Linked DNA regions of Lonchura striata. The main gene of each other region encodes a partner of the protein of the gene in region 4 in a complex. Links are inferred from orthologs where the notes say so. Each region holds a gene or a part of one and is shown on either strand. Other genes may lie near its edges.

What was found.
Region 1: SMARCD1 (region 4) and SMARCE1 share a complex: the UniProt entries of both Homo sapiens proteins name them as parts of the BAF complex. The link is inferred for Lonchura striata from reciprocal best matches to the Homo sapiens genes SMARCD1 and SMARCE1.
Region 2: SMARCD1 (region 4) and zinc finger protein neuro-d4 share a complex: the UniProt entries of both Homo sapiens proteins name them as parts of the neuron-specific chromatin remodeling complex. The link is inferred for Lonchura striata from reciprocal best matches to the Homo sapiens genes SMARCD1 and DPF1.
Region 3: SMARCD1 (region 4) and SMARCB1 share a complex: the UniProt entries of both Homo sapiens proteins name them as parts of the BAF complex. The link is inferred for Lonchura striata from reciprocal best matches to the Homo sapiens genes SMARCD1 and SMARCB1.

The regions. Positions count from the first base shown.
Region 1 is NC_134627.1:6,813,417-6,821,196, reverse strand, and holds the start of SMARCE1 (SWI/SNF-related matrix-associated actin-dependent regulator of chromatin subfamily E member 1), read right to left. Parts: upstream 3,015-7,780; 5' UTR 2,891-3,014; intron 2,159-2,890; 5' UTR 2,115-2,158; coding exon 2,108-2,114; intron 1,596-2,107; coding exon 1,552-1,595; intron 1-1,551. Other genes in the region: keratin-like protein KRT222, read right to left, coding at 7,557-7,770. UniProt on the Homo sapiens protein: Involved in transcriptional activation and repression of select genes by chromatin remodeling (alteration of DNA-nucleosome topology).
Region 2 is NC_134633.1:4,835,307-4,842,931, reverse strand, and holds the start of zinc finger protein neuro-d4, read left to right. Parts: upstream 1-4,625; 5' UTR 4,626-4,665; coding exon 4,666-4,697; intron 4,698-7,625. Other genes in the region: RAB4B (ras-related protein Rab-4B), read left to right, coding at 3-118. UniProt on the Homo sapiens protein: May have an important role in developing neurons by participating in regulation of cell survival, possibly as a neurospecific transcription factor. Belongs to the neuron-specific chromatin remodeling complex (nBAF complex).
Region 3 is NC_134620.1:3,455,380-3,463,122, forward strand, and holds the start of SMARCB1 (SWI/SNF-related matrix-associated actin-dependent regulator of chromatin subfamily B member 1), read left to right. Parts: upstream 1-4,728; 5' UTR 4,729-4,795; coding exon 4,796-4,888; intron 4,889-6,436; coding exon 6,437-6,548; intron 6,549-7,186; coding exon 7,187-7,216; intron 7,217-7,692; coding exon 7,693-7,743. Other genes in the region: MMP11 (stromelysin-3), read left to right, coding at 487-734, 991-1,204, 2,490-2,747, 3,634-3,767.
Region 4 is NC_134629.1:8,796,769-8,804,265, reverse strand, and holds the start of SMARCD1 (SWI/SNF-related matrix-associated actin-dependent regulator of chromatin subfamily D member 1), read right to left. Parts: upstream 3,016-7,497; coding exon 2,851-3,015; intron 2,777-2,850; coding exon 2,589-2,776; intron 1,802-2,588; coding exon 1,759-1,801; intron 1,675-1,758; coding exon 1,552-1,674; intron 933-1,551; coding exon 810-932; intron 326-809; coding exon 209-325; intron 1-208. UniProt on the Homo sapiens protein: Involved in transcriptional activation and repression of select genes by chromatin remodeling (alteration of DNA-nucleosome topology).

The DNA.
Region 1 (7,780 bases), on a different chromosome or scaffold from region 4:
GCCTCATGACATAAGCCACTGTTTTACTACAGTTTTTTGTATTACCATAACAACAGGCTTTGAATATGTTGAACTACAGCTCTTCAATAAAACCAGGTGACAATTGTAATCGCCGTCTGCTTATTTCTTTATTTCTGCAAGACAGGATTTAAATGTTACCAGGAACTACCTTACATCAGGGAGAACTGCACGGAGAAATTTTATTTCAGGTACAGTACTGCAGTTTTGAGAATTACTGAGATTTTGTTGACTGCAGCACCTGGAACTGGCTGTGGAAGAACAAGCAAGGTTATTTGGCTACTTTGTGACAGAGCAGAGACCAACACATGAAGGACTGTATAAAATATAATACAAAATAAAAGATGCTTGTAAAACAGGCAATGCAGGTCACTGGTTGCAGTCCTGGCATGTGCTTCATGTATCCTTCTGAAGAACTGTACCACATCAACATGAACCATTAAACATCTGTATTCATGCTATATCCCAAAGGAATCACATGTGTATGCACAGCTCTCGATGCAGGAATCCAGTGGTCAGAGGGGATCCATCATGGTCCTTCTAACACTGCCACAGATCTATTTTGCTGTGTGTAAAATGAAAACTCTGAGCAAACTATGAAAATCCAGTTTTATTTATATAAACTTATAAAAACATAACTTGTATTTATGTACTATATAATTTTCGAACCTCTTCCTGTAAAATATGGCACAAAAAATTTGAAGGATCACATTCCTTCTAACTCCCATCCTGCAGAGATCAAGGACACACTACTGGGTCACAGTCTTCCAATTCACTTTGGTAAAAAAAAAAAATCACTGTAGAATCTTTCCTCAACCTTCTGTACAAAGGATTTCTCCTAAAACTCAAACTACCCACAAATGTGACCAAAGATGTGCATTTATTTTCAAACAGTTCCTGCCCATGGTACACTGCTACTGCAGCACCTTTGTACATCCAGGAATGTCACTGGGCGGGATACAAAGCTCCTGTTCATGTTTTCCTCAGTGTCAGGGCATGCCACTTTACTAGAAAGTAAAATATTTCCCATGCCCTAGACTCCAAAATACCAGTGATTTCAAGGAATGCAAGACTGGCATCAGGAGTGTTTCATTATTCTGATCCAATACAACAGGATGCTTCATAATCCTGCATTCCACTCAATTGGAAAAAAAAAAAAAAGCAGCTCAGTACAACTGAACTGTGGAAAAATGCACTGTCTGCCCATGATCTGGGCACAGGCTGAGTAGGACATTTTACAATCAAATGTACCAGTTGATTCTTAACTATTCCAGTACTGCTGCAACCCACTGTGAGTCACTTGAGAGAAGTAATGCTCACAGAAAATTCAGTCTGTAAGATCCAGCCTTAGAGGCAAAACAAGTTTATTCGGCTTCTCTTTCCCAAACTTCTCAAAAATAATTATATTAATTTAAACAATTCATAGCACATTAATATCGTGTTTCCCATATTGGAAGGTGATGCAACTCCCTAATTATTGTTCTGGGAAGTTACTAAAGGCCTTGTGTTAATGAGAAAAATCACTATACTTACGGTTGCAGGAGCTGGGGTGGGAGGTGGGGCATAGGATGGCCTTTCTGTTAAGACAGAAATGTAAGCACATTTTTTTTTTCCCCTTGAAAATCTAAACGAATTCTTAAGGCATCTGCTATGGCCAATATTTTCAAATGATTTTACAAAACAAGCAAATTTTACTCTGAAAGACTTTGCCTTTTGCCACTGAACAGCAAAAAGCAACACTAGAAAAAGAAAGAAAAATTGAAATGCTCCTATTACTCTAGTCCCAGACTTTTGTTCAAGCACAAGACTGAAGAATATGAAATTCATTTATATGCACATCAATTACATGGAGGGAAAGCAAAAATACAGTCCAATAGGACTCAGAAGCTGTGATATCTGGATTTCCTACAAAAACAATATGCCAGGAATTGGCCACAGAAGGATTTAAGGCCAAGAGTTTAGTTACTACACTTGCTAATTTCTTTTAATGCCAGGAATAATGGCACCATCTCACAAACAGGTTCCACGGAAACAGATCTGTAAAACATCAAAGCTAAAGAAAGAAAAATCTTAAAAAAAAAAAACTTACTTGACATTTTGATAGTCAAATTTTCAGCCACCTGACATTATATTTGTACTTCTGCAAGACAAAAGAACAACATGCTAATAAGTGTTGTGCCTTTCCCCCCACCAGTTATTTGAAGCTTCGATTGTTATTGATACCAGTGATTATAAAAGTTCGTCAATTTTGGAATACAGACAAAAGCATTCTCAGAAACCAAGTTGTTATCTCTTTGAAAAATTAATGGATTTTCCAAGGAATCTAAAAAGCTGTGTAAGAGCACACAGCTTTAGGTCACCTTCATATTAAAGGGTCTAAATGAATATATTTTTTGCTGTAAGGAATAAAAAGAACATATCCCATTATTTTACACTCACTGATTCAGAAATCTGATATCGATATGTAAATGACCAAATTATGTATTTCCTTTACAGAGTACATACAACAACCACCGAGCCCCGCAGCTGCGGTCTGACAGGCAATTCTTAACCTTTTAGCACCGAACCCGGGAGCCCGTCAAACAGCGCTGTAACGAAGTGCCTTTTCGCCGTTTCTCTCCAAATCACGCCACGGGCAGCTGCAACCTCCTCCAGAATCCCTACTAACGACGTGCACCGGGCTCGCACGTAGGGCTGGCTTGGGAGATCCAGCAGAGCCTCTGCGGGCCCAAGGCGGCCACCGGCGGGGTCCCTCGGTCCCACCACTCCCTCCCCGGGCTCAATGGTCTTCCCGAGCCCCGCAGCGCTGCCGGAGAGGGGCCGGGGCCGTCCCGAGCCCCCCGGCCGGCCCCGCCGGGCCCCTCGGACTCACCCGCTCGGCGCGGCCGCGCTCCCTTTGTTCCCACGGGCCGGGGCGGCGGCGACGGCGCCTGCGCACTCCGCTCCGCACTTTCGACACGCGGGCCCCGGCCCGCCGGTGATCCCCTACTCACTATGGGGGGCCCTCTTCGGCTGCCCCGCGCCCCACCGAGGAACCAGGGCCGTCCCCGCACCCTCCGGGATAGCGGCGATTCCAGGGGCCGCGGCGAATCTGCGGGATGCAACCCGAGCGCCGCGCGCGGGGCGGCACCGCCCGCCATTAGCGGCACGGAGGCGCTGCCTCGCGGGGTGTCACAAGGGCTCCCGAGGCGCCCTAGAGACGCAGTGCTCGTCCCCTTCCCCCGCGCCGGCAACCCCGGTCACGGTGCCCCGAGTGCTGGCTGCCGGTGGCGAATCTGCAGCGCAGAACGGGCGCGCAGGGACGGCCTGCGGACGCTTCGTGCCCGCTGCGCTTTAGAGCCTTTTCCCCCTCACGGGCTGCGCGCGGCCCCTGAGGCGATTTTGGCGCCTTTTCCCCTCACGGGCTGCGCGCGGCCCCTGAGGCGATTTTGGCGCCTTTTCCCCTCACGGGCTGCGCGCGGCCCCCGAGGAGATTCCCCCTCACGGACAGGTACCTGAAATGTCCTGGACCCTGGGCTGCCCTGAGTCCACGGAAAACGCTGCGGGGTCATGTCCGAGCCCGAATAATATCCAATAAAAGCAGCGATGGAGTCAGGTGAACCGTCCGTGGTCTGTGCAGAGTGTGGTGCCGAAAGGGCTGTTTGGGATGCTTCCAGAGGCGGCTGAGTGGAGCAGGATGAGCCCTGAGGGCAGCGGGAAGGTGCCGGTGTGGGAGAATGTCAGTGGAAGGGACGTTAGAGACGGCTGTGAAGGCAGCGAGATGGCCCCGGGTAATAAATATGATAATATGTGATAATTGTCAACTAAATCAGCCTGACCAACTCAAAACACTCTGCTGCTGAATCAGACAGGATTATAAAGTACCCAGTAGTCTGGGAGCAGTGGAATTGTCCACAATTCCTTGCAGAAATCAGCGAAGTTATCACACATAGGTAAAACCCCCACAAATACCAAACAAGGTGAAGCATATGGCTCTGAGGGTGTGAGGAGGATGAAGAGTTCCAGACCTCAGCATTCAGCTTTAAGAGTCTTTTACACTGAAAATAGTCAAAAGTGACTGAATTAAATATGAAAACTTTGGCAGTGAAACTTGAAATTGAAAGTTTGATGTTGAATGTTTGAGGTTGAAATGGAATGTTTGGCATTGAAATGGTCTCACGTGGCCAATAAGATGTATTTCTAGACATTCATGAGGGAGAATTTGGGTGGATCCGAAGGAAAGCCAAAGGAGATGGTACCTGCCTAACCCAAAAGGATGATAGAAGGTGAAAAGAAGAAAAACTAACTGAACATGACTTGCTGCAAGTTGGGGCCATTTTTCTTGATGCCTGCCAGTTCCACTGGCTCAATTTGTTTTTATGCTTAAATACACTTATTTTTATGAACAAATAAAGAGACAAGAGCTCTGCCCTCATCTGCTTAGATTCTGCTGACTGTACCCACAATGGACATTTGTTGCCATATAGCAGAATAATCTGTGACTTCAATTTGATATTAAAGCAAGAGTTGAAAAGGTTCCTCAGCCAACGAAATACAACACATTAATTCACCATCTTAACTGGGGCAGGAAAAGGTAAAGAAAAGGTGAGAAAATACATGTAAGAGGTGAAAGATAACCTGGTTTTCCTCCTGCTTTTGACTAGGTTCACCCTAGTTTCATACATTCACTTCTAGTTTACTAATAACATAGTTTTGTTGATAGTGTAAATTGCATTTAATGTTAAATTAAAAATTGAAAATTTGCAATTTCTATTAATTATTTTAACTTTTGCTTTAATTTTAAAGCAAAATTTTAAAATTTGAATTATTTAAAATGTGTTTATTTTTAAAACGGAATTGTTTATTGTGGTGTTCAAGTACATTTGTGGAAACTGACATTCCATACTAATAGTTCTAAATCATTATATTTTCAAAGCCATCAGTGTATTTCCTACTTTGTTTTATTCCCCCTTTTTTCTTCCTATGCTCTTTGCCTCAGTTCCATCATGTGATAGTGAAAGGTTTTACCAGCGTACACTTTTTAATATCCTGTACAATATATAAGTAGTTTTACTGATTTAATGGAATTGTTTACACTGCACTATGCTCACCAGCGGGGAATGTAAAAACTAATTCTTACCCAACAGTTTTAATTACCAGCAATTTCACAAGCTTTGGAATGAGGACAGACATTCACTGGGAAGTAGATTGAGACAATAAAACTCGTTTTTACATCAGCCGTTTGCAGGTGCTAGTTGGCAGAGGCTCAGCTGGTCTGGATTTAATTAGAACCACAGAAATTAAGACTTCTCTGCCACAGTATTAAGCTTCAGTGTTAATTTTTTTTTTTTAAATTCCACTTTAAAGTGACCTAAAAATGAGGGTGAGATGTTATTATTTTGATGCCTATGTGGAGTTCACGCTGATACTTGTGGAAGCCAACTACTTTGTGAACAAAAGAGAGTTCTTTACATTTGGAGAGATGGAATTTGTGAATAATGCAAAAATAGATAATTACTGAAAGATGTGAAAACTTAGTTAAAACCAAAATGCCCACTTGAACCAGGCCTAAAGTAGGAGAAGCTACTGAAGTCAGTGTTAGGAAGTCACACATGAGGAAAATAGCCAGGGTGACTGGATTTGCCAGGAAAAAAGAGTAAGTTTTGTAGCAGAAGGACACTCACATGTTATGGTAAAGATTCTGAGGGAATTTGTGTCTTTCTAATTGTGGAGAGGATCAGAGAAAACACTTGTTACAGTGCTACAGATTTTCCTATCTGCAACTTTTATTTTGCATTTTTCTTTTACTTTCCACTTAAGGAGAAGACATTGACACACACAAAATAGGCATAGAGAAACTCCATTTTAATACTTTTTTTTTTATTGTAGTACTATCATTTACTTTGGTAAATTTGTATCCCTGTTTAAAGTGCCTTAAAGCAATTAAAACTTAGTTTAAATTCAAGTATTGTAAAATGTACAGAGTCTAAGCACAAAAAAAAAAGCTGCATAGTGAAAATACTGGAGCAGGCTGATACATTCAGGATGCCAAGTACTCAAGTGGTAATAACATCAGCTCATGATTCAGGTTAAGGATAATTAGCGAGTTTGATACAGTACAGACAGGATGGGGCAATATTGATGCATTGTTCTTACCATGAACAAAGGATAGAAGCATAGATTAACTCTGAAAGGATCTGCAGTATCACTTTTGTGCACATGCCATAAGTAATAAGGCAGATACTGACACTGAAATCAATCCTTTACGTGCTGTTGTAATCCAGCAAATCCTCTGTGTGGATTCTCCAGACTCTGAGCCCCAGCAATCCCGGTGCTCCAGTGGGAGCAGTGACATCCATCCTCTTCAGAATCCTCACAAATAATCATTGTTGTCTTCATACAATCTTGTTTGAGTCTTTGTTTGAAATTTGTCCTGTAAGGTTTTAAAGAAGGATGGCTGTTCCTCTGTGTACCGGTGCAGGGTTTCTGTTGGGGTTTGTGTTTGCCCACAGCCACTTTGGGTAGGAGTGGGGAGTACTTAAGGGGTCTGGTTGAATTGTACTTTGAATTTGTAGCCCTTATTTTGCCCAGTCAATTTGAAGTAGTAACAGTTGTACCCTGGTGTAACAGTGACTTGTCACATGGACAAAATCAACAGTATCACTTATCGGTAGTGTTTGTCAGAAGAGAAATTTGTTGAAGATATTTTAATGCACATTGTTATAATAAAAAAAAATGGAATAGCAGTATTCAAATGATCGTTTCATTCCTCCCATTTGAACAATAAGAGAATAATTTCATTTGCCTTGGCTAAGAGACTTGTAGTACAGATGTGTGTGGACACATAAGAAAATGATTGATTTTTCAGGGGAAATTACTGCTTCAAAATCAGTTGAGCAATATGGCTAAAATGTTACTGGATTGTAACAACACTTTTAAAATGGATGTATAGGGATGTAGAGGTAAGATATTTTTGCTCAGTTGTTGCCTGAAAAAAAGGAATTTAAAAATACTAGCCACTTTTAAAAGAAAACTCTTTGTTAATAGTTCATGTATTTTAAGAGTATTTTCATATGTAATTTTTGCTGTTAGAAAGTATTATTTTAAAATATATTTCTAGAAGTATGACAGCTGTGATATAAATTATTGCAAGTATTCACCAGTCATTATATGAATGGAATATTGAATAATTAAGAGAAGCAAATAGGCATTTCTCATTTTTGGAAAGAGAAAACAAGTTCTCTTTTACAAAGGCAGAATATGTCAAACTATAAAGTTCTAGTTTAATTTTTGTAACACTTGGTGAAAATCTACAAAACAACAACAATGAGAATATGAAAGGGCTGCACCCAGAGTATAAAAGCAGTAGAAGTTTGGGTTTCTTGGAATCAGAACCCCCTTGCTGTTCACCCTTTCTTTTGAAGGACTTAAATGGTTTTATTGTATCGATCCAAATGCTTGGTAAGATGTGTGGTTGTAGCAGACAGCAGCCGTGGGAGTCCATCTGCAGTTTATTTCCGGAGCCCATTGTGGATGCACTTTGAGGGAATTGGCTGAGGTTAAGGTTTGATGGATGGGATGCTGCAGGATCTCCTCATCACCAGCCTGACTTCAATGTCGGGGAGGGTTTTCTTTTTTGTGTGCAAACACCCTTCCTCTGTGGCTGCCAGGTGGAGATCGAAACGCAAGGAAACAGACTTTTTCCTTAAGCGAGGGTTGTCCTTAAAGAAAGAACCTTCCCATTCCTTAATAACTTCATCCACTTTTTCTGTCCTGAAACAAT
Region 2 (7,625 bases), on a different chromosome or scaffold from region 4:
AGGGGAGCTGGATCCCGAGCGGATGGGGTCGGGGATCCAGTACGGGGACGCGTCGCTCCGGCAGCTCCGGCAGCCCCGGGGGGCTCCGGCCCCCACCCGGCAGAGCTGCGGCTGCTGAGACCCCAAAAAATCCCCAAAATCCAGGTGAGGCACCCCGAAAATATCCCAAAAATCCAGGTGAGGCACCCCAAAAATATCCCAAAAATCCCAGCTGAGATCCCCCAAAAAATCCCCAAAATCCAGGTGAGGCACCCCAAAAATATCCCAAAAATCCAGGTGAGACCCCCCCAGAAATATCCCAAAAATCCAGGTGAGACACCCCAAAAATATCCCAAAAATCCAGGTGAGACACCCCGAAAATATCCCAAAAATCCAGGTGAGATCCCCCAAAAATATCCCAAAAATCCCACCTGAGATCCCCCAAAAAATCCCAAAAATCCAGGTGAGGCACCCCAAAAATATCCCAAAAAATCCAGGTGAGACACCCCAAAAATATCCCAAAAATCCAGGTGAGATACCCCGAAAATATCCCCAAAATTTAACCCTAAAATTCCCCAAATTTAACTCCTTAAATCCCCCAAATTCCCCCAAAATTTAACCCCAAAATCCCCCAAATTTAACCCCTTAAGTCCCACAATATACCCCAAATTTAAGTCCAAAACACCCCAAAAATCCCCCAAAATCCCCAAATTTACCACCAAAATCCCCCAAAACTTAACCCCAAAATTAACCCCACATCCCCAAAATTTCCCCCAAAATTGAATCCTAAAATATCCCAAAATCCCCCTAATTCCCCCAAAATTTTACCCCCAAATTCCCCAAAATCCTCCAAATTTAACCCCTAAAATTCCTCAGATATCCCCAAATTTAACCCCAAAATCCCCAAAATTTAACCCCAAAATTAACCCCAAATCCCCCAAATTTCCCCCCCAAACTAACCCCTAAATCCCCAAAATTTAACCCCAAAATCCCAGAAATTCCCCCAAAATTTAACCCCTAAATTAACCCCAAATCCCCCAAAATTTAACCCCAAAATTAATCCCAATTTCCCCAAATTTCCCCAAAATTTAACCCCAAAATTAATCCCAAATCCCCCAAATTTCCCCCAAAAACTAACCCCAAATTCCCCCAAAATTTAACCCCAAAATTTCCCAAAATCCCCCAAATTTAACCCCTTAAGTCCCCCAAAATCCCCCAAATTTCCCCCGAAATCCCCCAAATCTCCCCAAATTTAACTCCTTAAATCCCCCAAATTCCCCCAAAAGTTAACCTCAAAATATCCCAAAATCCCCAAAATTTAACCCCAAAATTCCCCCAAATTTAACCCCAAAATCCTCCAAAATACCCAAAATTTAACCCCAAAATCCCCCAAATCTCCCCCAAACTTTAACCCTAAAATCCCCCAAATTCCCCAAATCTCCCCCAAAATTTAACCCCAAAATCCCTCGAATTTCCCCCAAATTTAACCCCAAAATTTCCCAAAATCCCCCGAATTTCCCCTAAAATTTACCCCCCAAATTTCCCCCAAAATTTACCCCCAAATTTTCCCAAAATCCCCTGAATTTCCCCAAAATTCCCCAAAATATCCCGCATTCCCCCAAAATTTAACCCCAAAATTTCCCAAAAATCCCCTGAATTTCCCCCAAAATTTACCCCCAAATTTTCCCCAAATCCCCTGAATTTCCACCAAAATTTAACCCCAAAATCCTCCAAATTTCCCCCAAATTCAACCCCAAAATTTCCCAAAATCACCCGAATTTCCCCTAAAATTTACCCCCCAAATTTCCCAAAATCCCCAAAATTTCCCCCAAAATTAACCCCCAGATTTTCCCCAAATCCCCCGAATTTCCACCAAAATTTAACCCCAAAATCCTCCAAATTTCCCCCAAATTCAACCCCAAAATTTCCCAAAATCCCCCAAATTTCCCCCAAATTCAACCCCAAAATTTCCCAAAATCCCCCAAATTTCCCCGAAATTTAACCCCAAAATTTCCCAAAAATACCCTGAATTTCCCCCAAAATTTACCTCCAAATTTTCCCCAAATCCCCCGAATTTCCCCCAAAATTTAACCCCAAAATCCTCCAAATTTCCCCCAAAACTTAACCCCAAAATTTCCCAAAATCCCCCAAATTCCCCCCAAAATTTACCCCCCAAATTTCCCAATTTCCCCCAGATTTAACCCTTTCCTTCCCTTCCAGGACCAGGTGCCTCTGCCAGACCCGCCGCAATTTTGGGGGGGGGGTCCCCAAACCCCAAATTTTGGGTCCAAATCCGCGGCTTTTGGGCAAAAACAAAAATCCCCCAAAACCCCCTCGGGCTCTGGGGGGGGTCCCCAAATTCTTTTGGGGGGTCCCCGATTTTTCATGCGGTTTTTGGGGGGGTGCCCAAAATTTGGGGACCTCCCCCAGTTTTATAACTTTTTTTTTGCCTTTTTTTGCCTTTTTTTTACCTTTTTTCCCCTTTTTTTGCCTTTTTTTTCATTTTTTTACTTTTTTTCCCCCTTTTTTTGCCTTTTTTTTGGCATTTTTTACCTTTTTCCCCCTTTTCTTTCCCCTTTTTTTTCCTTTTTTTTCTTAATTTTTTTCCTTAATTTTTTCCTTTTTTTGCCTTTTTACCCCCTTTTTTTCCTTTTTCTTACCTTTTTTTTTGCCCTTTTTTTCCCATTTTTTGCCTTTTTTCCCCCCTTTTTCCCCCCTTTTTTTTCCCTTTTTTTAACCTTTTTTTGCCTTTTTTTTGCCTTTTTTTTGTCCCTTTTTTTTCCTTAATTTTTTTTCCTTTATTCCCTTTTTTTTTTTTTCCATTTTTTAACCTTTTTTTGCCTTTTTTTGTCCCTTTTTTTCCCTTAATTTTTTTCCGGTTTTTTGCCTTTTTTTGCCTTTTTTTTGCTTTTCTTTCCTTTATTTTTTTCCTTTTTTTACTTTTCTCGCCTTTTTCTTCCCCCCCTTTTTTTTACCTTTTTTTTCCCTTTTTTGTCTTTTTTCCCTTTTTTTCCTTTTTCTTCCCCCTTTTTCCCCCCTTTTTTTTTCCCGATTTTTTGCAGGGTTTTTTTCCTTTTTTCCCCCTTTTTTTTGCCTTTTTTCCCCCTTTTCCCCCCTTTTTTTCCGCCCATTTTTTGTGGTGTTTTTTCCTTTTTTTTCAGTTTTTTCCCTTTTTTTCCCTTTTTTCCCCCTTTTTATCCCCCTTTTTTTGCCTTTTTTTACCATTTCTTTCCCTTCCCCCCCCTTTTTTTTCCATTATTTTTTCTTTTTTTTCCTTTTTTTCCCCTTTATTTTTCCCCTTTTTTGGCCTTTTTTTTCCTTTTTCCCCCTTTTTTGCTTTTTTTTTTTTTTGGGGATTCCCCCAAATTTTTTTTGGGGGGTGTGGTGGTCGCCCCTCCCCCAATTTTTTCTCCATCCCCCCAAATTGGGGGGGTCTTTTTTCCCATTTTTTCCCATTTTTTCCTCATTTTCCACTTTTTATTTATTTGCACTAAATTTGGGGAGGGGGGGAGGGAATTTTGGGGAGGGGGGAAAAATTGGGGAACCCCCCCCCCAAAAAAATCCCAAAAACTCCCCAAAACTCCCGGGAATTTTGGGGATTTCCCCCAGAACCGAAGTGTGAAAAATGTGAAATAAAAAATTTACGTTTTCAGCTTTTTGGGGCATTTTTGGGGTGATTTGGGGGGATTTTGAGGGGATTTTGGGGGGATTTTGGGGAGATTTTGGGGGGATTTTGGGGGGGTTTGGGGGGATTTTGGGGTAATTTGGGAGATTTTGGGGGATTTGGGGGGATTTTTGGGGATTTTTTGGGGAAATTTGGGGGGATTTTGGGGGGATTTGGGGTTTTTCGGGAGTCTCTGAGAGGATTTGGGGAGATTTTTGGGGGAAATTTGGAGAATTTGGGGGATTTTGGCGGATTTGGGGGATTTTGAGTGGATTTTGGGGATATTTCCAGGGGATTTTGGGGGATTTTGGGGAGGATTTGGGGGATTTTGGGATTTTTGGGGAGGATTTGGGGTGGATTCCGCGGGCTTTGGGAGGATTTGGGGTGGATTTTGGTGCGATTTTGAGGGATTTTGGGATTTCTGGGGAGGACTTGGGGGATTTTGATGGATTTTTGGGGAGGATTTTGGGGATTTTGGGGGGATTTTGGTGAGAATTTGGGGAATTTGGGGTGGATTTTGGGGAGGATTTGAGGGATTTTGATGGATTTTGGGGGGATTTGGATGGATTTTGGGGAGGATTTGGGGGATTTGGATGGATTTTGGGGGGATTTGGATGGATTTTGGGGGGATTTGGATGGATTTTGGGGAGGATTTGGAGGATTTTGATGGAATTTTGGGCGATTTTGGGGCTCCCTGCCCCCCCTCCCCCCCTTAGCACTGACAGGAGGGAGCCCCGCCCTTAGCCCCGCCCCTTTGCGGTGATTGACAGCTCCCCCAGCCAACCAGCGGCGCGCGGGGCACGCCGGGAGTTGTAGTCCCGCCGCCCCGCCGCCATTGCCCCCCTCCCCTCCCCCCCGCCCGGTACCGGCGGGCACCGGCAGCGCGGGGCGGGGGGGGAGGGGCGGGGCGGGCGGGGGTCCCGCGGGCTCGGCGGCGGCCCCGGGGGGGCAGCGGGGGAGGGGAGGGGGGGCCGAGCCCCGCCGCCCCCTCCCCGAGCGCGGAGCGGCCCCGGCGGCGCAAAATGGCCACGGCTCTGCACAAGCCCCTCAAATGGTGAGCGCGGCTCCGGGGCACCGGCACCGGCACCGGCACCGCCCCGGCACCGGCACCGCCGCCCGGCGCCGCCCCGGCACCGCCCCGGCACCGGGCTGGGCCCCCCCCACCCCCAGCCCGCACCGGCACGGCGGCGGCGGGGGCGGGGTGGGACCCCCGGTACCGGGGCTGGGAGGGGATGGGGGCTCGGTACCGGGAGGGGATGGGGGCTCCGGTACCGGCACCGGCAGGGGATGGAGGCTCCGGTACTGGCAACGGGAGGGGATGGAGGCTCCGGTACTGGCAACGGGAGGGGATGGGGGCTCGGTACCGGCAGGGGATGGGGGCTCGGTACCGGCAGGGGATGGGGGCTCGGTACCGGCACCGGCAGGGGATGGAGGATCCCGTACCGGTACCGGCAGGGGATGGGAGCCCTGGTACCGGGGCTGGGAGGGGATGGGGGCTCGGTACCGGCACCGGCAGGGGATGGGGGTTCGGTACCGGGAGGGGATGGGGGCTCGGTACCGGGAGGGGATGGAGGCTCGGTACCGGGAGGGGATGGAGGCTCCGGTACTGGCAACGGGAGAGGATGGGGGCTCCGGTATCGGCACCGGGAGGAGATGGAGGATCCCGTACCGGCACCGGCAGGGGATGAAGGATCCCGTACCGGCACCGGCAGGGGATGGAGACTCCCGGTACCGGCACTGGCAGGGGATGGAGACTCCCGGTACCGGCACCCGGAGGGGATGGGGGCTCCGGTAACGGTGATTGGAGGGAATGGGTGACCACCAGTACCGGCACCGGGAGGAGATGGGGGCTCCGGTACCGGCACCGGCAGGGGATGGAGGCTCCGGTACTGGCAACGGGAGGAGATGGGGGTTCGGTACCGGGAGGAGATGGGGGTTCGGTACCGGGAGGAGATGGGGCTCCGGTAACGGGACCGGGAGGGGATGGGGCTCCGGTAACGGTGATGGGAGGGGATGGAGGCTCCGCTACCGGCACCGGGAGGGGATGGGGGTTCGGCACCGGCAGGGGATGGGGGTTCGGTACCAGTACCGGAAGGAGATGGGGGTTCGGTACCGGCACCGGGAGGGGATGGGGGTTCGGCACCGGCAGGGGATGGGGGTTCGGTACCGGCAGGGGATGGGGGTTCGGTACCAGTACCGGAAGGAGATGGGGGTTCGGTACCGGCACCGGCAGGGGATGGGGGTTCGGTACCGGCACCGGCAGGGGATGGGGGTTCGGTACCGGGAGGGGATGGGGGTTTGGTACCGGTGCTGGGAGGGGATGGAAATCCCCGGTACCGGCACCGGGAGGGGATGGAGGTTTGGGGTTTGGGCCCGGTACCGGCGGGGTTGGACCCGGTTCGGGCGGGGATGGAGGTGCCGGTACCGGCGGGGTTGGACCCGGTTCGGGCGGGGGATGGAGGTGCCGGTACCGGCGGGGTTGGACCCGGTTCGGGCGGGGATGGAGGTGCCGGTACCGGCGGGGGATGGAGGCTCCAGGATGGAGCTCCCGGTAGCGGCGGGAGGGACTCGGTGGGGATGGAAACCCCCGGTACCGGCTGGGAGGAGGACCCGGTACCGGTGGGGAGGAGGACCCGGTACCGGTGGGGAGGAGGACCCGGTACCGGCTGGGATGGGGACCCGGTACCGGCTGGGATGGGGACCCGGTACCGGCTGGGATGGGGACCCGGTACCGGTGGGGAGGAGGACCCGGTACCGGCTGGGATGGGGATCCGGTACTGGGATGGGGACCCGGTACCGGCTGGGATGGGGATCTGGTACCGGCTGGGATGGGGATCCAGTACTGGGATGGGGACCCGGTACCGGCTGGGATGGGTATCTGGTACCGGGATGGGGATCTGGTACTGCCAAGATGGGGATCCGGTACCGGGATGGGGATCCGGTACCGGCGGGGTCCCAGTCCCAATTCTGGTCCTAATCCCGGTCCCGGTCCTGGTCCCAGTCCCGGCCACAGTCCCAATCCCATCCCAGTTCCGGTTCTGATCCCGGTTCTGATCCCAATCCCTATCCCAGTCCCAGTCCCGGTTCTGATCCCGGTTCTGGTCCCGGTTCTGATCCCAATCCCTATCCCAGTCCCAGTCCCAGTTCTGATCCCGGTTCTGGTCCCGGTTCTGGTCCCAATCCCTGTCCCAGTCCCAGTCCCGGTTCTGATCCCAATCCCTATCCCAGTCCCAGTCCCGGTTCTGATCCCGGTTCTGGTCCCGGTTCTGGTCCCAATCCCTGTCCCAGTCCCAGTCCCGGTTCTGATCCCGGTTCTGGTCCCGGTTCTGATCCCAATCCCTATCCCAGTCCCAGTTCGGATCCCTGTCCCAGTCCCGGTTCAGATCCCGGTTTTAATCCCGGCCCAGTCCCGGTTCTGATCCCAATCCCTGTCCTGGTCCCAGTCCCGGTTCAGATCCCGGTTCTGATCCCGGTTCTGATCCCAATCCCTATCCCAGTCCCAGTCCCGGTTCTGATCACGGTTCTGGTCCCGGTTCTGATCCCAATCCCTGTCCCAGTCCTGGTTCAGATCCCGGTTCTGATCCCGGCCCAGCCCCGGTTCTGATCCCAAGCCCTATCCCAGTCCTGGTTCAGATCCCGGTTCTGATCCCGGTTCTGATCCCGGTTCTGATCCCAAGCCCTATCCCAGTCCTGGTCCCAGTCCCGGTTCTGATCCCGGCCCAGTCCCGGTTCTGATCCCAATCCTAGTCCCGATCCTAACCCCTTCCTGGTGCAGGTTCTGATCCTGGTTCCAGTCCCAGGTCTGATTCCATCCCGGTGCCGGTTCTGATCCGGTCCCGGTGCCGGTTCTGATCCGGTCCCGGCGCCGGTTCTGATCCGGTCCCGGCGCCGGTTCTGATCCGGTCCCGGTGCCGGTTCTGATCCGGTCCCGGTGCCGGTTCTGATCCGGTCCCGGTGCCGGTGCCAATGCTGGTCCCTGTCC
Region 3 (7,743 bases), on a different chromosome or scaffold from region 4:
GAACTTGCTAAACTTCAGCCCTAGCCAACAATTGCTTCAAGCTGGGTGGACAAACACCAACCTGACCACACCACCTCCTATACCTCTGGTCTAGACTTCCTTCTCTGTGCAAATTTCTCTTTTCCAAAAGTGCATGGAAAATGCTTTTGTTCCTGGGAGCTGATGAGGTGCCAAGAGCCTCTGACAACAGAATTGCAGATTACCAACATGTCCAGGTTAATACCCAAGTGTATGAATTGACTCATGCTGCTTCTGAGCCAGTGAACCCCTTTATTATTTCCTCTGACTCCTTAAAAAAAAACAACCCACAAACATATTTTTGAGCTACACAGGAGCTATCTGGGAACAACATAGTTGGAGTAGATTTCTCTTTCCTCCTTTTGGACTCCTACAACACATGTCAGTGTCTGGTAACTGGTAGGAACAGGCCCAGGAGGGCAAAGCATGTGAGTAGACCAAAGTATCTTCCATCTTTTCCCTTTGTAGGCACTGACCTCCTGCAAGTGGCTGCCCATGAGTTTGGCCACGTGCTGGGCCTGCAGCACACGGCTGTCTCCAAGTCCCTGATGTCTCCTTTCTACATCTTCCGCTACCCCCTGAGCCTGAGCGAGGACGACAAGCAAGGTATCCAGTACCTGTATGGGAAACCCTCGGCGGACCCTGACCCAACCCCAACGCAGCCAGCGGAGCTGCCCCAGCCGGACCTCGAAACAAATGAGATCACCAACGTGGAGGTGAGTGCAGGTTCCCTTCCCTGACAGCCTGGCTGGGGCTGCCCTGGCAGCAGCCTGAGTTGGTGCCTGCCTCTCCCACCAACACCGCTGCGCCCAGCCCCAGAGCCCACGGCTGGCACTGGGCTGTGCACAGGGGGTCTCCGGGCAGCCCGTGCCCAACGCAAGCCGGGCAGCAGCCTGCACACGGGGCCTTGCCCTGAGCAGCCAGGCAGGCTCGGGGGCTCTGGGTGCCAGCCTGACGCCTGCGCCTCGGCAGGCCGTGCAGCCCGACGCCTGCCACACGGCCTTCGATGCTGCAGCCGCCATCCGAGGGGAGCTGTTCTTCTTCAGCTCCTGCTACGTGTGGCGGCTCCGCGCCGGAAAGCTGCAGGATGGCTACCCGGCCCTGGCCTCTCGCCACTGGCAGGGCATCCCCAGCTCTGTCGACGCCACCTTCGAGGACCCTCTGGGAAACATCTGGTTTTTCCAAGGTAAGAGCTGGACTGTGATCAGATGGCTCAGAAATCTCAATTACTTAAGGGTAGTGAGGACTCAGCAGGTTCCTGAGACAATAAATCTCCTGGAAATCCTCAGCAGTCCAGTGATCCTTGTCATTTGTTTCCTTAGCTATTTAAACTTTTTATCAGGTATTGAAGACAGAGAACAAGAGTTCACTTTTGTTTTAAACACGTCACAGTATCCCATTCTCCTTCTCTGGAACACAAACATTTGTAATTTGCCTCTATCCTGGCAGAGGAGAACGAAATAAACATTTGCTCCATCTCTCCAGATGTCATGGGAAGCACTGTGCCAGAAGTGAACCCCAGCAGTTCGTTGGTTGTGCCTGTGGGCCCTGCTCAGGGCGGGGACAGGATTTTCTCTGCTCCTCAGTGACCTGGATGTGGAATTTCCCTAGTACCCCATGGCTTTATGAGCCGACAAGGAACCTGGGTGCAGAGCCAGGCAACCTCCAGCAACCATAAAGATTAGGAATGAAACCACCTCCTGGCCGTCTCTGGGGTTCAAGGCCAGCAACAAACCTCATTTCAGCTCCACAGTTTTTTTTAATGCTCTTCCTAAGTGGAGGTTTAATAGGAGGGATGCAGAATGATCTGGGAACTCATTGTGGGTGTGCACACCCCGTCTGCACTCCATGAGACCAAGCACCAAAATCAGGGTACCAGTGGCTCTGCAGGCAGAGCTCCTGCATGAACACATTTCTGAGCACCTGACCTGCACACAAGGACTTAACAGTGCTAAAATTGGCAGGCTCCTACAGTGAGTTAAAATGAGATAAGGGGAAAGTATTACATGCCCTAGGCTAATTACAGAGATTCCCATTTTAATCTACTCTGGAACTCTGCTTCCAGTCTCTATATCAACTTGACAAATTCTTCCTGGTTTCTGTTCCTTTCCAGCCACATGCCCCCTTTGTGCCTGTGCATGCCCACATGATTTCCAGGTGCTGAGATTGCAGGGCAGAGACTGGTGCCTCCAGCCAAGTCCTTTGTAACTTCCACAAATAGATAAAAATGCTGCTGAAATGGACCTTCCTATCCCCCACCAACACCCACCAGGCTGGACTGAGGTGGGATGCCAATGCATTGACAGAATTTTGGACACACAACAATGGCAGCATCCCATCACACTTGGTGGTGGTTTTGCCTCTCAGGCACAGCTTCCCATGGGGGCTCTGCCAAGGCACCAGTTGCACAGTCCACTGTCAAATTATCAGAGTTTTTGACCCCTTGTTTCCCTTTTCTGTCTCCTCAATAGATTCTCAATACTGGATTTATGATGGTGAGAGACGGGTATCTGGTCCCACCCCAATCGTGGAGCTGGGCCTCCCTGCATCCCCTGTGCAGGCAGCTCTGGTGTGGGGGGCTGAGAAGAACAAGGTCTACATCTTCAGTGGAGGCAACTACTGGCGCTTCAACCCCCAGAGGCGCCAGGTGGACAACATCTACCCCCGGGCCATGGCCGACTGGCGCGGCGTCCCGCCGGAGATCGACGCCGCGTTCCAGGATGAGTTTGGTCAGTGCAGGAGCGTGGCCTGCTCTGCCTGCCAGCACTGCCCAGCTGGAAGAGCTGGGCAGATTTACACATGTGGCAGTAGTGAACACTGCCCAACCACAACACATCCCATACAGGGTAGAGGGGCAGGTCCTTCCAGCGGGTAGAGAATTGAGAAGTTGTTCCATTCCCATTCATTGCAGCAATTGATATGTAAGTGTATGATAGAGAGAAGTCAAATATCTGACCAAGGAATGGTCACAGAGTCCTGCCCACCTCTTACTGCTCCTGCCAAAGGAAGTGATGAGAAGACAACAGAAATACTCCCCACACTTCTACCCGGGGAACTGAACAAAAAACAGGCTGCTTTTGGTATTGACCAGTCCTCCCCAGTGTGCCCCTTGCTGAAAATAGTAGGGCAGTGCCACAGAAACACTGGGGACAGCCAGGGTGCTTGGGATGACAGGTGTGGCGAGTGCCTCTTTCCTCTCTAAGGATGAAGTGAAACAACTCACTGCTTCCAGAACATAAATTCCAGGGCAGTTTGCCCACAGGAACAGATGCTCTGAGCAGGTCTTCACAAGTTCCCTGTCCCTGTCCTAGAAATCCCCTGCCCTCACAGGGCTGGGTCACTACAAGCATACAGCATATTTAAACCCACCAGGAAAATAAAATTAAATCCATCCTGTTTACTGTCCAAAAAGTAAAACTAGATTTTTTATCGAAACTAAAACAGTGTGAAAGAAAAGCGACTGCCACAAGCCTGGGTTCAAGTAAAATCTCCTGCCTCTTCCAGCTCTCTTTCAGTACCGTATGTGTTGCAGAGTGACAGCTGAACAAAATGCTGGCAAAGAGCTCTGAGCCACATGAATGCTGCCTCTCCTAAACCTTCCTCTCTCACCCACAGGTTTTGCCTACTTCCTGAGAGGCCGAGATTATTGGAAGTTTGATCCAGTCCAGGTGAAAGTGCTGGAGGGCTACCCACGCCAGATCAGCCAGGACTTCTTCAGCTGCACACCCTCCTCCAACTCCTTCAGATGAGGGGGATGCTCTGTCCTCCACGCTCCCCTGTCATCTCCCTTTACCTCCAGCAGCCACAGAGAGGGTTCCCTCTGCCATTCCTGGCTTCCCACCAGGCTCAGCATCTGACACAACAGGTGTCTGTCACAAGTGACAAAGTTTGCTCCTCTCCAGTTCCAGCAGCCCCAGCTTCAGCTGCTATCAATGTAAAAGCAGCTGCCATGTTCTTTACAGGCAAGGGAGGCCACTCTCTTCTAGCAATAGCATCCCAAAAGCCACCAAGGCCAGCCTGGAATAGGATCATGCTCTCATAACTAATCAGAACCCCATCCTGTAGAACTGATCCACGGCATTTCCTATGTTTACATAACTCACTAGGGCAGCCCTTTGCTGCTGCAGACGCTGGCCAAGGAGGAATGACCCCCCAGCCCGGGGCTTTGAAGGACACCGACCCTACCTGCAGAGGAGGAGGACTGCGACGTGCGGCTGTGCCAGAGCCACTCCGCCGGGGCAGCCGAGCTGGCTGCCAGGGCCTGCCGCAGCCCGAGCCCGGCTTGACGTGTATCCCTAGCATGCGTTAGGATTTTGTACCGATCTGTACATAGACAAGGGGCTCCTCCCTCGCTCCCTCGCCGGTGCTGGGTGCCAGTGCTGGACACTGCCCCGCGCTCATCCCGCCGAGGTTCCCACCCCGGGATGCTCAGATGCACTGATCGCTCTCGAGCCGCCGTCCAGGCCCGGGCTGGCAGCGCACACCGGCCGTGCCTGCCCAGCCTCAGGCCAAACACCCGGGGCTGCCAACAGCCTCTTCCCTTCCCACCGCCCGGCCCGGCCCGGCCGCGGCGCTCCGTGTGTATTTATGTTCCGCCCCGCCACAATAAAACCCGCCTCTTTTCTACATCCGTCTCGGCTCTGTGCTGCGCCCCGCGCCCGGCCGCGCCGCCGCGCCCCGCCCGCCGCATGCGCGCAGCGGGCCCGCGCTAGGCCGCGCTCCGCCCGCCGGGCCGCGCTCCGCTCTCCGGGCGCCGCCGCCCCCGCCCGCCGCCGCGATGATGATGATGGCGCTGAGCAAGACCTTCGGGCAGAAGCCCGTCAAGTTCCAGCTGGAGGAGGACGGCGAGTTCTACATGATCGGCTCCGAGGTGCGGCCCGGGCGGGAGCCGGGCCCGGGCCGGGGCTGCGGGGCCGGGCCGGGGCTGCGGGGGGCTGCGCTCAGGGCGAGCAAGGGGCGGAGGAGAGCCCTGGCGTGGGGCGAGCGGCCCCGCGGGTCCCCTCTGCCCCGGCGGGCGCTGCCGAGGGCCTCAGCCGTGCTGGGGGATGGGACGGAGCAGTGCTCCCGTAAGGGCGGCCCCTGGGGCCCGCACGGGTAGGCGGGGAGCGGATCGTGCCCGATCGCAGCCCGAGGCCCCGCTCCCGCTCACCGGGAGTAATTCCTGTACGCAGCTGTTGAGGGGTCGGGGTTGTTTCACGTGCTGCGGGGCAGCGAACCCCCCAGCTGGGCCTCTGGGCTCGGGACCAGCACCAAAACCAGCCAGTGCAGCTCCTTCTGCCTGGTGCCCAGTCTGGGCAGCAAACAGGCGGGCAGAGGCTCAGCACCCCGTGTCTGTGCTGGCAGCTCTGTTGTCCCGTGCTGAGAGGGTGTTGAGCCTCCCTGACAAAGAGCCTTATTCAGGCAAGAAACACTGGCCCTTTAGCACCAGGGAAACAGCTGAAATCAGGAAAAAACGTTACAGCCCCCAACTTGATGCAGAAAAGGGACTGTTGGATAAGTTTCACTGCCAGCTCTGTAGGTTGAGCGGGGACTGAACACCCCTCGCTCTCGTGAAATGTAGAGTTTGAAAGCAAACTGTACCTGCAGTCAGCTGAGCTGTGAGACTGCCATACCAAGTACATGGAGAAGAAAAAGGGTTGTCTTTTTTATCTACCATTAATTTCTGTCTGTGGATGAGCACTGTAGAGTGAAAAATATAGCTAAAAACGAACATCAAAAAAGAGTTTTCTCAAACAAGGAATAAAAACCTTGTTGTGTGGCAGTCTGTCAGGGTCCTGGCAGTCTAAAAATTTGATTTCAGAGTCTAGAAATAATTGTGTTGTCAGCAAGGCCTGCTGTAGCTTTCAGCATAGGTGAGGATGTTATGCCAGGAAGAACAGAACTGCTTTACAGATGGTAAGTAAATCTGAAAGAGGACTATTGGCAGCAATCACATTTTTGATGTTCAAAGGTTTTAAAACAAAATACAAGTCCCTGGGCATTTGATGTAGTCACATAATGTCTAGATGATGAGGAGGTTCAAAGTGAAAAATAATGTGTCGGAGAGCTGGGTTTCTGGTTTAGTTTAATTCCAACTGAGCATTGCACATTGATATGGAAACTGAAGTAAAGAAGGTGTCTGTTGTTCAAAAATACATGCAAATGAACGGAGTAGTTTCCTATTATCAGTAGATGGGAGTTATTTTGGATCTAGTGAAGTAAGATTGCACCAGTGAAATAAGTGCTGATAAAAATTCTGTTTTCTATGTTGCCAGAAAAATCGTGGTGCTATTTGATGCCAGACACAGCACAAAAACCCACCAAAAGCACCCTCTTAAGAGGTCCTTGTTATCATTAAAAAGACCTGAATTTCTTCCAGCCTCTGCTGTGATTCTCCTACATGGAATACCAGGCCACGTGTCCACTTCTCTTCTTGCAGGTGGGGAACTACTTGCGCATGTTTCGGGGCTCCCTGTACAAGAGGTACCCCTCGCTCTGGAGGCGCCTGGCCACGGTGGAAGAAAGGAAGAAGATTGTGGCCTCTTCACATGGTGAGAAGATGAGTAAACATTCCCAGAAATGTTTGTCGAAAATTTTGCCTTGAACAACTGTTCCTGGTGATTCAGAAGCTCGTGCACCTTGAGGGCCGCATGAATCGCTTCAGACTGCCCCAGTGATGGAGCACCCTGCAACGGTGGCACTGGTGGCTCCTGGTTCAGGCTGGCAAGAAATAGCACCTGATCAAAAACATTCTGAAATGGAAACATCCATCATGGAATTCCTGGGATTGGCTACGTTCATCACAAAGCAAAAGCCACATCTCCAAATCAATACCATATTTCAGAAGAGATTTTTTTGTAGACTAAGAGGGGTGTCTTTGTCTCTCTCATCGAATAGGCAGCAGTGTTGCAAGGATGCCCCATTGAAGATGTGCATCTTTGCTTCTTGCAGGGTCTGGATGTTTGTGCCTGCCAGAAATTTAACTGCTTGCTACTGATGTGACTGCTACAGGGAGAATATTGGCATTGTTTTTGTTGAGGGACTAATAGCAAGCAGTTAAATTTCTTAGTGATATGATTCTTGTATGTTCTGTAGACTAAAGCATAATAAAAAGAATGGTTTGCTCTGGGCTTATGTCTCTTTCCTCCAAGTATCTTGCTGACCTCTTGCTTTCTTTTTCCCCCAACAGAAAATCAGCGGTCTCACAGTCCTCGAAGATGTAAGTCTCATCTGTGTGTTATTCTTAGCTGTGCTAGAGGAAGAATGTCCACTGTGACCTTTGGTGCTATTGCAATAATATTAATGTCTAATCCTCTTCCTCTGATCTCTGTCTGTGGTCAGCCTTATTGTACCTCCCAATCCCATGGTTAACTCTTTCTCAGAACCTTAGCAGGACTCTCCACTGCAGATGGTCTCTGTCATTCAGCAAGAGCTGTCCTGAGGCCTCTCCCCCTTCCCCAAGTCTTTAACAGCTTTTCTATCGATCCTTGCATCTCTAGTTCCGACCTTTAAGTCCACTGAGCGTTGTTTTCTGGGCCTTGTAATTATCTACAAGATGAAGCCCAAAGGACACTTGTATCTCTGTGTTAGCCCCTCCTGCAGAGACAGAGAGGGTTTGTCACTATGTAGCTTGTTAATGCTACGGTATAGGTAGCCCTTTTCTGAATTAATTATTGCCATCTTTCCTGGTAATAGATCATGGCTACACAACATTAGCCACTAGTGTGACGCTGCTAAAGGCCTCTG
Region 4 (7,497 bases):
TTCTTCCTACTTAGAGTTTGAAACAAGAATCAGTACATTTGTTCTGACCTTCAGGAAGTGAGAGGAAAAGCCAAAGTGAGAATTCAAGAGCTCCTGGCTCCTAGAAGCCTCAAGGATTCCCACCTCCCAAGTTATAAATAACACACAAACCCCACCTGCTGAAACACCAACCCACTTTTTAGAGGAAACACAGCAAAAAGCAGCTCACCTCTACTAGGTGATTGTCAGGGCCATACAGGTCTTTATCAAGTTCAATGACCAGAGATTTAAAGAAGGACGAAAATTTCCTTTTCTGCTTGGTGGCATCATATTTGGACAGAGCAGACTGCAAGCAACACAGGGAGGAAGAGGGTTAGGGCAGCAAGTCTCAGCACTCAAGCACAGCCACCGTGCACAACAGCTCCTCTAAGTTCTGAACACCTGAATTCACCAACGTGTGCTCAAAAATCAAGTTTCCAAGTCAGAAAGGGAAAGACTGGAGTTAAAGATGAGCTCGCAGGAGTTAAACCCCTCAGCAGTTACGTACAATGCCAGTGCCCTGGTTCTCAGAGCCGGGGACACAAGTGCCACTGAGCTGCTCTCACCAGTGATTCTCACAACTCTAAGAACTTTGGACAATTCATGTCCTGCCATGGGGACACCCATCGGTCTCCAAGCTGGGCTCTCGGTCTCGTCACCATCAGACTCCTTGGGAAACAGAGATGAAGGAGGATATCAAGCCCCAGCTGTGCTCTCAGACACTGGGAAACTGGTTTCATTGCCAACTCCACATCCACAGTGTCCTCTGAGGATGGGCACTTCCCACTTACATCCTCCAACAGCCGTCCTTCCACCCGAAGCTCCCAGGAGGCGACGGTTCCTTCGCCGTCCTCCGCGTCCGACTTGGCGGGGTTGAAGGTGTTGGAGATAAAAATACGCAGCTTTCGCTTTTGCTAGGAGAAAAAGCATCAGCTCAGCGTCAATCCTCCTGCACAGGGCCAGCTGTCCTGCACAGGCTTTGCTACAACCGAGCTCAGTGTTTTCAGCTGCCTCGCATTCTCCCTCTCCTGGAGCACACAGCGAGGACCCACTCTGGTCCCACTCTGTCACCCTGATTTTTAAAAGTGTTTTCTTTTATAGATATTTTGAAAGTTTTAAAGTTCTCATAGAACTTCTTTAACCTTCTGATAATGTTTACAGATTTCTACTGGAGTTCTCACACGTTGTCCATGTAAATAATGATTGTTTTGCATTCTCCTTTGTGGGAAGAGAGAATTGATGGACTGCTGGTTTGACCAGTGTGGTTGGAGAGGTGGCAATTTCATCCTCCAATCCACTGTCACTTTTAGAATTCTATTTATTATGAGGTCAGAAATAAAATTAGCTCTTTTTCTCTTTTAAACTTACCAAGCTTCTGTGTACTCGCGTCCAATAGCGACACCAGTCCCTGGCTGTGTCCAGAGCACTGGGACCTCTGATATGCCACACTCAGAGGACACAACCCTTCAGTGCCCTCCTGCTGCCTGAACTCAGGAGCTTCCAAAGCCTGGAGACAACCCAGACTCCCCTTACCTTGATGGGACGTTTCAGAGCCTCCTGGATGTCCAGGCGCTTCCTCATGATGGTCTGGTCCAGCTTCCTCTCGAAGGCCAGCAGGTCCATGTAGGCCTGGGATTCGGGCACGAGCTCACGGATCTGTGGCCAAGCAAGGATGGAAATGCCCACCAGCTCCCCAGGCTGCCTCACCTCCCCCCGAGCCCCTCCCCGTACCCCACTCACCCGCTGTGGGAGGATTTTATCTGCCATCTTCTTCTTCTTGGCACTGACAGGGGCAAGAGACAAAAGAGGCGTGAAAATGGGAATGGCTCTGGGCACAGGAGCTCAAAGACCTGCAGCACCGAGTGGCCAGGGGCTCCCCAGTTAGCTGGGCCCTGCTCCAGTGGGGCTAACTGGTTATCTCAATGTTCCCCACCCTTCTGAGCACAGGAACAGGAATTACATCTATTAAAAACAGGCTGCCTCTGTTGGAAAGAAGGTTCACCCCTTGGGAAGGAGGACTTGACACAACATCCACACCAAGTGACCTCCAGCCTCAATCAACTTTGGATTGCCTTTTCCAGGGACAGCATTTTAAATCCAGGACAAATTTCATTCTCACTGGGCCATCACATCAGGATGCAGGCATGTGACATAAACTCAGCCCTGCCCTGCCCAGCGTTGTCCTCCAGTCCCAGGGGAATGCACAAGGACCTGACAGGACCCTTCAGCACTGCAGGAGGACCAAGAACTCCAAAATCCTTGAGATTGGAAAAGACCCATTCCAGACCCTTGACTCCAAGCTGTACCCGATCCCCACCTTGTCACCAACCCAGAGCACTCAGTGCCACGTCCATCATTCTTTGGAAACCTCCAGGGATGGGAACTCCACCACCTTCCTGGGCAGCCCCCTCCAAAGCCTGGCCATTTCCATGAAGAAATTCCTCCCGATCCCCACGACAGCCCAGGGGATGTTGCTGCTGCTGCCCCGAGATACTCCCATTGTCCGGGATGTCCCCAGGAGCCGGAGATGTCCCCGATAGCCCCGGGATGCGCCCTCTCCCGTGCCTTACTTGTGGTTGCGGTTGGGCACCGCCTGCGGCTGCACCTGCTGAAGCTGCTGCGGCGCAGGCCGCTTGCGAGCCTGGTCCAGCCCGGCCTGCGCCAGCGCGGGCCGCACCGCTGGGCTCCCTCCGTACCCGGGAGGCCCCATGGCCGGGCCCTGCGGCGCCAGGCGGCCGCCCGGCAGCATCCCGGGGCGCTGCGGAGAGAACAGACTCGGTCAGCGCCCGCCGCGCCCGGCGCCGCGCCCCGCCCCGCGCCGCCCCGCCTCACCGGGTAGGCGGCTCCGGGCAACGGCGAGCGGTACAGGCCCTGCCCCGGCGCCGGGCCCATGCGCACCGCCCCGCCCGGCGCTCCGGGGCCCAGCGCGGCCCCGGGCGCGGCCCCAGCGCCGCCGCCGCTCGCAGGCCCCGACTGGAACCCGGCCCGCGCCGCCATCTTGTCTCGCACAAAGGGAGCGGAACCGGAAGCGGCCGCGCGCGGCGCGCGGAGCGCCGGGGAGGAGCCGCCCGCGGCCGCCGCCCGCAGCGCCCCCTGCCGGGGGAGGACCGAGCGGCGGCGATTGGGGGGGCGATTCGGGGCCGTGAGGGACTGGGGGTGCGGGAAGGGAATGGGGACAGTGAGGGGTGGGACTGGGGGTGAGGAAAGGGAATGGGGACAGTGAGGGGTGGGACTGGGGGTGAGGAAAGGGAATGGGGACAGTGAGGGGTGGGACTGGGGGTGAGGGAAGGGAATGGGGACAGTGAGGGGTGGGACTGGGGGTGAGGAAAGGGAATGGGGACAGTGAGGGGTGGGACTGGGGGTGAGGAAAGGGAATGGGGACAGTGAGGGGTGGGACTGGGGGTGAGGGAAGGGAATGGGGACAGTGAGGGGTGGGACTGGGGGGTGCAGGATGATCCCAAACACTGGGAAGGCTCGGGGGTGTCAGCCTCCACTCCCCAGCTGTGATTACAGCCCCTGTTCCCTGGTGCTGGAGCCTCCCTTGCTCCGGGATGTGCTCGGAGGGAGGTGGATGTGCCTTTCCCAGGCATGGAGGGCCCCGATGTGCAGGTGTGGCAGTGACACCCCTCACCTGAGCTCCCCCCTGTTACATTCAGGAGGAATTTCTCCATGGAAAGGGTGGTGAGGGGCTGTCCTGAGAGATGGGGGAGTCACCATCCCTGGAGATGTCCAGGGAAAAGCTGGACGTGGAACTCAGTTGGGATCAGTCACAGTTTGGACTTGGTGATCTTTTCCAACCTCAGGGATTCTTAGGGATGAAGTTTATGGGGAAAACAAATGGCCACAAATGGGTCCAGTTTGTGCAGGTTCAGGCAGAGCACCAGGAAAAAGATTCCTGTCTCCCCTGGGGTTGGAGTTAAAGGCCACTTTCTGCAAGTATTAACATTAAGTTCCTTTTCCCTGAAGCGGTTTCTTGTGCCCAGAGAGAAAAGGGACACAAATCCAGTCAGCATTAATCCGTGGAAAAAGCCAAGTGTGCAATCACACCACGAGTATTAATTAAACAATTAATGATGATCATCTGATGAGTGCTGCCTCCAGCCTGGAGGTCCCAGCCCAGGGAGGATGTGGAGCTGCTGGAGCGAGTCAGGAGGAGGCACCAGGATGATCCGAGGGATGGAGCAGCTCTGCTGTGAGGAAAGACTGGGAGAATTGGGATTGTTCATTCTGGACAGGCTCTGGGGTGACCTCATTGTGCCCTTCCTCCTTTCTCCTGTCCGGAGGGGTTTGGTGGAACAGCTTTGGAAATGCCTCCCCTGCACCTGCTGGTGGCTCCATGGAAACTTTGGCAGCAGCCGGGGCTGTGGCATTGTCCCTCGGTGCCTGCTGTCACCAGCAGCCAGCGAGGGGAGACGGGGAATTCTGACCTGCGACAGGAGGTGGTGCAATCTCGGGATCTCCACAGAGCCTGAGTGGGCTGGGTGTCTCCATGGGCTGAGTCTCCGTGGATCCTGAACGGGCTGAAGGTCCCCAGAACTCCCTAGATCTCCAGAGGCTCCCTAAATCCTGGTCAGGGTGAGGCTGCCTGTATCTCAAACAACTTCAGATCCTGAACAGACTGAGGGTCTCCAGATCCCAAACAGCCTGAAGCCCCGCATCCCCACGGGGCTGATGTCCCCAGCCCACTCCTGCTGTCCCCCGATGCTCCAATGGACACGATGGAGTCTTGTGCCTGCAAAGAGCAGCTTCTGCACGTCCCATCCCGGTGGTACCTGCTGCATCCCACGGGAATTGCAGGGCTGTGCTGCCCCTGGGGCTCAGACAGCTCCCGGAGAGCCGCTCTGTGACAGATGGACGGGGTGACCTGCTCCCGGCGCAGCCGAGGGATTACAGCCCCCGGAGCCGGGGGGATATCCAGCCCCCGGAGCCGGGGTATTACAGCCCCCAGAGCCGGGGGGACTACAGCCCGCGGAGCCGGGGGACTACAGCCCCCGGAGCCGGGGTATTACAGCCCCCGGAGCCGGGGGTATTACAGCCCCCGGAGCCGGGGGGACTACAGCCCCCGGAGCCGGGCGGATTACAGCCCCCGGAGCCGGAGGATTACAGCCCCCGGAGCCGGGGGTATTACAGCCCCCGGAGCCGGGGGACTACAGCCCCCGGAGCCGGGGGACTACAGCCCCCGGAGCTGGGGGATTACAGCCCCCGGAGCCGGGGGGATTACAGCCCCCAGAGCCGGGGGGATTACAGCCCCCGGAGCCGGGGGGATTACAGCCCGCGGAGCCGGGGGACTACAGCCCGCGGAGCCGGGGGGATTACAGCCCGCGGAGCCGGGGGACTACAGCCCGCGGAGCCGGGGGACTACAGCCCCCGGAGCCGGGGGGATTACAGCCCGCGGAGCTGGGGGGATTGCAGCCCCCAGAGCCGGAGGATTACAGCCCCCGGAGCCGGGGGACTACAGCCCGCGGAGCCGGGGGTATTACAGCCCCCGGAGCCGGGGGATTACAGCCCCCGGAGCCGGGGGGATATCCAGCCCCCGGAGCCGGGGGGATTACAGCCCCCGGAGCTGGGGGACTACAGGCCCTGGAGCCGGGGGGATTGCAGCCCCTAGAGCCGGGGGGACTACAGCTCCCGGAGCCGGGGGGATATCCAGCCCCCGGAGCCGGGGGGATTACAGCCCCCGGAGCCGGGGGGATATCCAGCCCCCGGAGCCGGGGGGATATCCAGCCCCCGGAGCCGGGGATGCCGCGGGGAGGGAGCGGGCACGGCTCGGCTGCGATTATCGGGGTCATTAACGCCCTCCTGGCCCGTCCGTTCTCCTTCCAATCCCACCCCCTGCCCTTTGCTCCTCCAGCTCTGGCCGGGAAGCGCCAGAGCGGGGTGAGACTGTTCTCGTTGAGATGCAAAACTGCATTTCTGCCATTTCCAGGAGCCAGGGGACACGGTCGGAGCCAAGGGACCGGGGGAGGAGGGTGTGCGTTGGCATTTCAGCGTTCCCTGCCCACTCCCACTCCCTATTATTCCATCTCCATGGAGTCCTGAGGGCTTTTTCTGGATGCCCTCTGTTGGATCTGCTCTGTTGTTACTACTGCTCTTTGTAGCTGGAAATTTTTAGGACAAAAGGTGTGTGTGTTTATATTTGGGTTGTGCTCCCAGGATGAAATTCCACCTGGTGACTCCTGTGGGTCCCAAACCACGGAGCTGTCAGGGATTAACAGCTCTGTGAGTGTTAATTCTCCTTTCCCTGCTCAGGAAGAGGAATCATTTCCCTCCTCCAGCCCTGTGTTCCTTGGGAAGGCAGCGAGGCTGGAGCTCGATGAGGCACCAGGAGCTCCCAGGAAAGGGAGGCTCAGCCCAGCCTCAGCTCTGCCCCTGCTCCTGAAGTCTGGCCCGAAGCTTTTTCCTCCCCTTCCCTTTCCCTGGGCTCCAGGAGCATCCCGGGATGAGGCTGTCCCCACCTGCCTCCTCGGGGGAGCATTTCCAGCAGCTCAGCAAGAGAGAAAGGCTTGGCATGGGGGAGTTATATCATTTATATCATTCTTTATATCATCGTTGTTAAGAGTAGCAGGTATTGATGTACAATGCATCTGTCATCTTATTGTGCTTCCTATGAAAATGTGTGTACATAGTACAGATACCGGAGAGAATTCCACACTTTATACACTTGAAGGCATTCAGAGATCAGTAACAGAAAAAAAAAAAAAAATGGCACAAGAACAAGGCCTAAATGCTACTGGATGGGTATCTACAGTGGCATGATGCATATAGATATATATATATATATGTACACATATATATATAGTCATATATATTATATATAAGAAATATAAAATGCCGATGACATAATAACAAAAAAGAGTTTTCTTCAACAGGTGAGCCTCAAGGTCAAATCCCAGCCCCATCTTTAAAAGCTTGAATGGGAAAGATAAAGAAAGAAAATAAATAAATGAAACATGATGAAACATTAGGAGAAATCCATAAGAAAATTTATGGATGTGGCCGAGCCGTCGTCTTTGGGTGATTGCTGGATACAAAGGAATGACCCCCAGTTCCTAATTTTGGTCAGGAAGCAAATAATAAGAATTAAAATGACAAGAATAAAAACCAAAACTGCCGTTTAGAAAAAAAAAAAAAATTACTAAAAAGACTTATTGCAAAAGCTCTTAAAGATAAGTAGCACTTTGGGCCCGGGGAGGGCTCTGGCCTGGGGGCTGGGGGGGCCCAACGGGGACCCCGGAGGGGACTGGTGGGCACTGACAGGCCCAGGGGGCAGTGACCTGGTGGCCACGGACCCCAGCCAGGGCAGGGCTGTGCCAGGGAGGGGCAGCACGGCGCTGGGAACCCACAGACACCCCAAACCCCCCGGGCCAGGGCTGCCGGGGCTCAGCGGGGCTGGAGCCGTGGCCCCAGGGCCCCCCTGAACCCCGGGGGTGTTGGGGCTCTGCTGCCTTCCCCGCCACGGCGGTGCCAGGGGGGCATCCC